Linked DNA regions of Tribolium castaneum. The protein of the gene in region 1 purifies or fractionates together with the protein of each later gene. This does not show direct contact. Links are inferred from orthologs where the notes say so. Each region holds a gene or a part of one and is shown on either strand. Other genes may lie near its edges. The genes, in order: Not10 and Not1.

What was found.
Region 2: the proteins of Not10 (region 1) and Not1 purify together in Homo sapiens (affinity purification with mass spectrometry; 4 studies listed by BioGRID and IntAct, with this or other methods). This does not show direct contact. The link is inferred for Tribolium castaneum from reciprocal best matches to the Homo sapiens genes CNOT10 and CNOT1.

The regions. Positions count from the first base shown.
Region 1 is NC_087396.1:15,622,306-15,626,734, forward strand, and holds the start of Not10 (CCR4-NOT transcription complex subunit 10), read left to right. Parts: upstream 1-1,354; 5' UTR 1,355-1,501; exon of another isoform or gene 1,502-1,557; 5' UTR 1,558-1,612; coding exon 1,613-1,704; intron 1,705-1,753; coding exon 1,754-1,910; intron 1,911-1,965; coding exon 1,966-2,107; intron 2,108-2,156; coding exon 2,157-2,565; intron 2,566-2,614; coding exon 2,615-2,960; intron 2,961-4,429. Other genes in the region: Rchy1 (RING finger and CHY zinc finger domain-containing protein 1), read right to left, coding at 48-326, 439-594, 643-804, 907-1,005. UniProt on the Homo sapiens protein: Component of the CCR4-NOT complex which is one of the major cellular mRNA deadenylases and is linked to various cellular processes including bulk mRNA degradation, miRNA-mediated repression, translational repression during translational initiation and general transcription regulation.
Region 2 is NC_087394.1:30,458,428-30,463,016, reverse strand, and holds the start of Not1 (CCR4-NOT transcription complex subunit 1), read left to right. Parts: upstream 1-1,670; 5' UTR 1,671-1,985; coding exon 1,986-2,087; exon of another isoform or gene 2,088-2,152; intron 2,153-2,334; coding exon 2,335-4,589. Other genes in the region: putative leucine-rich repeat-containing protein DDB_G0290503, read left to right, coding at 1-599, 646-1,028, 1,076-1,198, 1,256-1,327.

The DNA.
Region 1 (4,429 bases):
CTAAATGAGTCAAAGTTACAACAAGCCATACAATTTTACCATATCACCTTATGACAATCCTTGCATAAAATTTGCACTAAATAACAGTTATACTGTGGCGGCATTGGCGTATGAGCAACTTCATTATCAAGATACTTCCACAACTGGGTCATATCCATAAGGGACGTCTGACATATGGGACAAGCATAATGTCCCGCTTTGAGTAATTGGTTGAAACAAGTGCGGTGTAACAAATGGCCACACATTGGAATATGGCATGGAATTCTGGAAGTATGGATGTCCTCAAGACAGACAGGACAATTGGCGCGCGATACGTTCTCCACACACTGCAAAAACAAGTTCGGATGTCTTACACGGCTGAAATCTAGTCTACACACGCATGCGCAGCGTTTAATTTTGGAATGGTGTTTACATGAGTTTGATATTTTTCACCCTTACTTTATGCCCGTTTTTGAGCTGGATTGGCAGGCACATGTTGCATTTCTCGCAATGGAAAAATTTGTCCGAGCCCCCAATCCTGCAAATGCCACAGCCAGAGCAATGGAACTGGTTCTTGTCTTCATCGTCGAAAAGATTGCACTCCAAGCAAGTGTACTGAAACAGGCGCTTAAATTGCATCAGAATCATTTCCCACGGACTTACTTTGCCAAATCTGATGCCACAGTTCTGACACTCTGCTTGAACAGGCTGCCTTTTCTCGCATATCGTGCAGATTAACTCCGTGACTTCTTTCCTGTTCACTGAGTGATCCTCCTTTTCGTCGTGACAGAACCGACAAGTGTACACTTTCTTGCAGCACGGAGTCTTGAAAAGAAAACACGACGTGATTGAGTCAATAATTGGCGCTAATTCAATTAAACTCAATAAACAACATTGGCCGGACGGTCTGTTCTAGCAAAAACTCACCACGAATTTGGATTTTCTTTTGTAATGGGAGCAGCCAATTGGCTTAATTGCCTCTTCGGGTGGCCCCTCAGCGACCGGAGTAGCTGCCCCTTCCATCATCCGCCGGGATTTGATTAAACGCCGCCGTATGACTGTGCAATTCGAGAAAATCTGTTTCTGGCACTAATTTTAGAAATACGACAGCATACGGAATAAATTAGAGGCGATCTTGAACTAAATAAATAAACGGGTAGGCAACACGGATTGCCTCCCAAATGTCAATTTCATTCAGGGAGAAAAAAACACTAGAATTGTTACTAGCAAATCACATTCGGTTGGCCAACTTGTATGAATTTTTACAGGATTTTTTCAAATTTCTTGCAAAGTTTACACTCATTGATGATCAAATAATTCAGACGACATTTAAAGCCGAAAAACGATCAAATTTTTTCTGTGGTATTTTCGTGTATTCAAAATTTAAATCTTGGACTTCACGAGTCGCCACTGACCTGTCAAAAAATTTTTTTTCGAAAATTTTTTGGAACTAAAGATTTGAATTATTTCACAGAAATATAACAACGAACTTAAACTTCCATTAACGTAAATTTTACGATCCGTAGGTTTTTTACAGTAGTGAAAGTCGGGTTTATTGTTACATAACCTCACTTATAGAAAGCTTGTGAATAAAAAAGTAGTGCCTGTGTTTGCAAAAAATCCAATAAATACAATGGCTGAGAAAGAAGAGTTTGAACGAGCTGTGGACGTTGTAACAGAGCAGGAGCAGGAATATGCACAAAAGGCTTTGAATGAGTTTAAAAAGTATGTTTAAGGCTTCCAAAAAAAACGAAAACTATTGACCCTTTTGTAGAAATAATTACGCCGGTGCGCTCCAATTTATCAATAAACTGGACAATAGAACTAACGATTTTAAAGTGGCCCACAATAAAGCTCTTGTGGAATATTGCAAAAGCGATTTTAGGAAGAACGAAACATTTCAAAAGAATTTAACCTCAATTTGCAATCAAGTATTACAGTCGTCCTCCTGGTGGGAATCTTTTAATAAGGCTCATTAACTTTTAGTTTAAGATTCGTCTCGATAAATTAGATGATGTGGACCAATGCATTGTTCATTATAATCAGGCCATTCTGTTATATCATCAACAACAGTACACTAATGCAATTTACATAATGGATCGAGTGTACAAATTTATTGAACCAATGGGTACAATTTTTCCAACGTGACTGTTTGTTTTTAATTTACTTTGTTACAGATGACGCATTAGCCAAACAAGTTAGTCTTTTTGCCATTGAGTTACAGCTATGTGTGCGTCAGTCTGATAAAGCGCTCAGTTTAATAAATTATCTGGAAAATCAATTAATCAACGGGACGCCAAACATCAAATTGTTGGACAAAACCGTTAAAGAGAAAGACAAGAAAGCGCCACAGCCCCTAGACCCAGCAATGGAAGAGTTTAAGAAAAAACTAATTAAATACAAAATCCGTTGTTACCTAATGAACCACAATCTCGAAATCGCAAACAAAGAAATCAGCAATTTGCTAAAAGACAAACAGAATTTCCAAGCCTTGTTCCTGGCAGCTAATTTAGAATACCTCAAAGGAAACTTGATAGAGTCCCAGAAACTTCTTGCGGCTGTACCACCCGATTATCTGGTCTACAAGTAAAATTCTATATTTTTTTAATATTTTTTTGCATTTGAATTTATTTAGCGACAGCGGCGAATCTTCAACTTTGATGTTTTACAACAATATGGGTGTGATTCATCACGCAATGGGCAAACCCAACTTGGCTTGCCACTACTTTCAGTTAGCCCTCAAGGAGGATATAGCTTTAACAAACAATGCAAAAAAAGACAAAGGCATGGATGACAAACCCTTGTATGCACTGGGTGGCTCAAAATACCACGAATTGATGTATAATTTGGGAGTTTCTCTTCTTCATGCCAAGAGGCCGGTTCAGGCGTTTGATTGCTTGATAATTGCAGTGCGGAGGTACCACAGAAACGCGAGGTTGTGGATGCGCTTAGCTGAGTGTTGTATTATGGCCACTAAAGAGGTAAGGGAATGAAAATTTTTTTTTAGTTTTATGTCTGGTTTCGGAGAATTTGTACGAAATTTCTGATCAAAGTGACCTATGATTAAGTTGGCAACAATAACTATATCGAGAAAGGTGAAAATAATGTATGTTACGTCGACCACAGTTATCGTCTTAATTTTTCTGACTGTTTAACGAGATCTCACAAAAGTCTAAGACGTTGGTTTAAAAGGTCTAAAGACTTGAAGAACGTAAAACAATATTTCGTTAAGCTTTGTTTTATTTTTGAAGAATTTTTGATTGAATGCGAACTAGACTAAATACACAAAAGAAAAATTGCATCTTTTTTTTATACAATAAATCAGTAGGTACCTTCGGGATAAGATATTGGATTAAAAAAAAATGCGAAACATGTTTTTTACTCTGTTTTTTCAAGTTGCAACTACCAAAAGATTCTCTAAATAATTATGAATAATTAATCTTTACATAAATAATAATTGACCAAATAAAATAAGAACAATTAAATTATTTTCATCCCAACTCTCTGACTTGTTGAGTAATTTTTAATAACAGAGTTGTGCGATATTATTGAGTTTTTTCATGAAAAACCTAAACGCAAAAGTGACACTATTCGGCGACTTTTATGCTTATTTTTCACAAACTTTAGCGAAATAATAATTGCGTTTCTACAAAAAAATGTGCAAACAAAGAACTATATTGACAAAATGATGTCATTTTCAGGACGGTTTTATAAAAAACGTCCAATTTTCAGTCCAATTTAGCGAAATGTAATTGATTAATTTAACTGCTCTTACATTTAAAAACTACTTACATGTTTACATGCCGCTTGTCCCCCTTTCGCATTTTAAATTACCTAAGACATTTTCTACAGAGTTTCGTTTTATTTGTTGGATTTTTTAGAATCATTTTCGAAATGTCATACGTCAAATTGAAAAGAGCGCGCGCATGCGCAATGATTTTCAACGAGGATCCCTTTCTTGACTAAAATAAAAGACTTTTCATCTAATATGCATTTGATATTCGTTATTTATTTCCTATCAGTGTCTCAGTTTTGCTTGTTTTTATCTAGCAGATTCTTCAATATTGCACAGAGGGGTAGAATGAATAGAAAAAGTGAGAATGTGCGACAAAGACAGACCCATTATTTTATGAATTAACGTAAAATTAGGCACGTAATTGTAAAATTTGTAAGCATTTTGATTGGGCCGTTTGAGGTCGGCCATCATGGTATTACCGAAAACCAATCACCTTAGATTTTTTGATTCATTCAAAAATTTACTTTTTGAATATCATTGGTCCACTTAAGGTCGGCCATTATAAAAAGTGAACAAGCCAATCACGTTAAATTTTGAGATTGATTCATTTTTTATTGCGAATGGTTAGTTTAATAAATATGAAAGCAGTCAATAAACAACAATAAAAAATGTGCATTTAATCAGGTCTTGCAAATTACAACGGAATCGGTCGAA
Region 2 (4,589 bases), on another chromosome or scaffold:
CAGAAGGACAAATTTTGGAATTATTCACAAGATGAAGAAAGACGTGCAAAATTTTCTCAATTCGTTCCACGTCGATAAACTCGAAGCTAAACAAATCCGAGAAAAACTGGAACTTTGGGACAACATGTTGAGCGATTTTATTGAGAGTTTCACACACGGTGTGAAAAATTCCGAATTGAAAGACACTGTTGATGACCTTACAAACGCCAAAACTATGTTAGAGGGTGAAAAATTTGCCCTAGACTATGAGCTGAGGCGCTGCACTAATGAAATTGCCGAAATGAAAAAGGAAATTGCTGCTTTGACTGAAAACAGGAACAATTTGTTGAAAGAATCGGTAGATAATGGGCACACTATTCAAAAATTGAAAGACGAAATTCTCAATTATAAAAAATGTATTAAAGTGATGGAACAAAATAAATTAGAGATTGAAAAACAACTGGAAAACACTCAGAAGCAGCTGAATGATGCAAAACAGGAGACCATAGACTTGCAAAAGACAGTCAATGGAGTAAATGAAGATGTGGTGCGGAAAAAGTTATTCAAAGAGTTGTCAGACGTTGAAAGTGGTTTGGAACAAGATAAAAGAAACAGCGATAGTAGGTTTGTGTTTTAAATTTACTACTCCTATCCCTGAACTTGTAGTTGTGACCAGCGACGTGTTTCAAAAATGTTTGCAAGCACAGCTCTTGAAAACCGAATTGTTGTTGCGTGATCGGTTGCAAGAAGAAAATTCAAAGAAAATGGAAAAAATCGAAGAGGAATACAAGAAAGTCATTCAACAGCGGTCCGATTTGTATCACAAGGAGAAGGAAAAGTGGAAGATTCAGGAAGCAAATTATCGCAAACAGTTTGCTGCAGTTTTGGAGGAATGTGGGCGTAAGATGGAAACTTTAGAAAAGGAAAACATTGAGTTAGCCAAGCGCTTGCACATCCTCATCCAGGAGTGCAAAACGTATAAAAGTAGCAACATCGCGGTTCTGGACAAGTATAACAAACTGGCCACGAACCATAAAAAAGCTTTTGAGGTACCGATTTTTTCTTCAAGTAAGAGCAATTCATCGTTTTATTACAGGATTTAAACAAGCGATGGGCGTCCCTTTTGGAAGCGTATATGTATAATGCAACAAAAATTGAAAAGCAGACCAACAAGAACGTGAAAAATGTCCTGAAAAAAATGGTTTTAAATGACCGAGAGGTAATAACATGCTACGTGTAACGCATTTCTTGTTTATTTAATCAATCTCTATTCCAGATTCAATTAATAGAAAATATTTATAAGGAAAAGATGAAGAAAATAGTTGCTGAGAGGCATAGCAAATCCTGAAAGCTTCATCTTCATTTTCAATATTCTACATGTTTTAATTACAATTTGTATTTTGAACAGTTAAGAAATAAAGAAATATATCTTTGCCAGTTCGTTTTATTTTTATCTGTCCTTTATTCACACTGAGTGATAAGATAACATGCGATAAGTAAATGGAGATAACGTTTTTATTTTGAATTCGGGTGAAAAGAGCGGGTAGAACTTACCGTTCATGACGTGAGGTGCCGCTGCAGTTTCAAATTCGGATCATTAGTTTTCTTCGGCTTTCGAAGCACATGTGAAAAGTTGACGTTTTCCTGCCATTTTCGTGCGTGTTCCGGGTGGTGTAGTTTTTTTTTGCGCGTCTTTTCTGGAAAAATAATCAAAATACACGTAACTATAACCACACATCCCCTCAGGATAGTGAGCTCGTTGTTGGTCATGCGTAGTTTCATACATATGTTTTATTCGATGCATGTGTTGTGTGTTGCGTGAGTCAAAAGATGATTCTGGTAAATTAAAGTGGTGAAAAGTACATTAAAGATTCGATGATGGTCTTGGACCATTTAAAATTTAGTTGTTTTTCAAAAATACATAAGACTTTGTGGATAAAAGCCCCGTGCATACCTAAGAAAGCTTCAAAAGTATTTGAAGCTTTCGAGGCCGTGTTCATGGAACTATGAACCTAGACTCGTTGTCTTTTACCTTGTCACAAATAAGTTATTTAGTTGCATCATTAACCAAAAAGAACTACAAGCAAGTCGTTGCCGAACTCTCAAAGGTAAGAGTAGCGGAAAATTTGAACCGTTGCAAATGCGTGGACTAAAATTATCAGATTGACAAATCGGCCATCTTTTCCATGCCAGCTGTCACGCACAGTTACCGATCGAGCAATGTTGTGGTGAACAAAGGTGTTTTGATTGTTATTATTTTTTTCGTTCACGTTCTTGCAAAATGTCATTCAGATTATCAGAGTGCTTCTTATCACTTAAACAGCTTTTAAATTTGATCAAACGTTCGTTTTATAGTTGGTAACTTTGCATGGTCTGGAGGCGGACCGTCACTTGCTCCAATGTCTATTTTCATCAGTGGACTTTTCTGAATCTACAAGCAAAATAACCGCTCCATCTCCCCAAAATCAAGCATTGTTAGAGCAGTGTTCGAACTTGTTGAACAAACCCTCGCTGCTGACGTCTGTTTGCTACATCACAGACAATCCATTGAGCACCAACAAGGTAACAAAACCGCTTCGGTGGGTCACTTTTTCTGCAGCGGTTCCGTTACAGGCTTTCAAATTCGGACCCCAGTTCTTCCAGCAGTTGAGCAAGTGCCTTCGCCTCTCAGCTGTCCAGGAAGTCGTTTTCGCTCTCGCCCTTCGCCACTCTTCAAACCAGGAAGTTTCGTCTTTAGCCCAGGCACATTTACGGTTAACGGTTCCGACTCTCATCCAGTCGTATATCGAGACTGAAGGCAGCACCCGCCAGCACGAAGGGGGCCTCCACGAGACCACCCCCGAGGTCCTCCACTTGATCCTCTCCGCTGTTCTGAAAGCCCCCAAAGACGTTGGGCTCACCAACAACGCGCACCGGGCGTTTCTCGACACTCTCCAGCGCGACTTCCCCAAAGACCTCGTTCCCGTAGTGTTAGCACCGTTAGTTTACCCCGAACATTGTGAATTGTCGCCGGAAATGTCATCCGAAGGCCCCGGTTTATCCGGGGGCATGTTAGAGACTTCGCTGGCCGATCTGGTGGCTGAGATCGGTTTCGGTTTTACTTCGTCGGTGGAAGAATGTCGGAACAACTTGATGAAGCTTGGGGGACGCGACATCACCCCTGCAACAGTCGCTCGGATCCTTACCGTTATGTGCCGAACACACAGTGGCCTTGAAGATTCACTCAGTCTACAATCGCCAGGCAGTTTTAATAAGGGCAATGAGGGGCGCACTTGGAACGTGGAGGTTTTCGTCCAGGCGTTGAAAGAGGTCGTGCCGAACTTTCAATGGGCCAACACTGTGGCCGAGTTGGACCATCCCGAATTTATTATTAAAGATAGACAAGGACTCATTATTCTAATAAGTGCACTTCGACATGGCCTCCAGACGCTGGGATTCCACCCGGAAACTTTTCCAATTGACCAATTTTATAAGAGATGGACGAACGTCGAGGGGCAGTTCAGTCTCGTTCAACATGTTCTCAAAAATCCAGATGTGTTCTGTTTTGCTGACTATCCCGCGATGACCGTCAGTGTTGACGTTCTCAAAACACCACCGGAACAAGACAGCAAGGAACTGGCCAATTGGAGATCGTTAAATCTGGTCGAGTTGCTCCTGCACATGTCTGAATGTGGCTTGTTCACTTACGTTCAAGAACTGTTCAAATATCCAATGCACAACTGTCCTGATGTCTTAGTCCTCGCATTGTTACAAATACAAGGGCCTGTAACGCTCCTCAGACAAGAATTACTCTCCAACTTGATCCCAATCTTTCTCCTGAATCACCCAAACTCTGCCATAATACTACACCATGCCTGGCACACCACCAACATCAATATCAAATCCATAATAATGCATGCCATGGCCGAATGGTATGTGCGAAGCGACTGCGATCAAACGAGACTGTCCCGAATTCTGGACGTTGCCCAAGACCTGAAAGCCCTCTCAATGCTCCTAAACGCCCAAAACCAACAATCTTATCCGTTCATCATCGACTTGGCTTGTCTTGCATCCAGACGTGAGTACCTCAAGCTGGAAAAGTGGCTCTCGGATAAAATCAGAGAACACGGCGAGCCTTTTGTCCAAGCTTGCGTCAAGTTTTTGCACCGCCGTTGCCCGCAAATCCTGGGCAAAAGTGACGACGCTATGACCAAAGCTTCGTCCCTACCCAACGAAACTTTGACCACGATTATGATTTGTTTGCAATCTTGCATGAACAGCGTCAGTCCCGAGTGCCAAGAGGCGATAATCAACGTCACCACCGGTTGCAGTATTTTACTGAAATCGCGTCAACAGCCGGCTCTTGTTAGGTCCAGGGGCGTTGAAGGCCCGTTCAGTGTTTCGGCAATGTCGGGACAGCTTTACAACCACTCTGCTGTCGATACTATTCCCGGTTTGACCACGAATTTGGCCAGCATGACAATGTCGGGGCCCACTAGTTCGGCGTTTAATTTGCAAGGGGGACTCGGGCCGCTAGTGCAGTCTCCCGGGTCTCCTTCGCGGATTTTGGGTGCTGGTCCTTCAAACAGTCCGTTTCCGATGATGCCGTTGCAACATCAGGGACCAGTAGG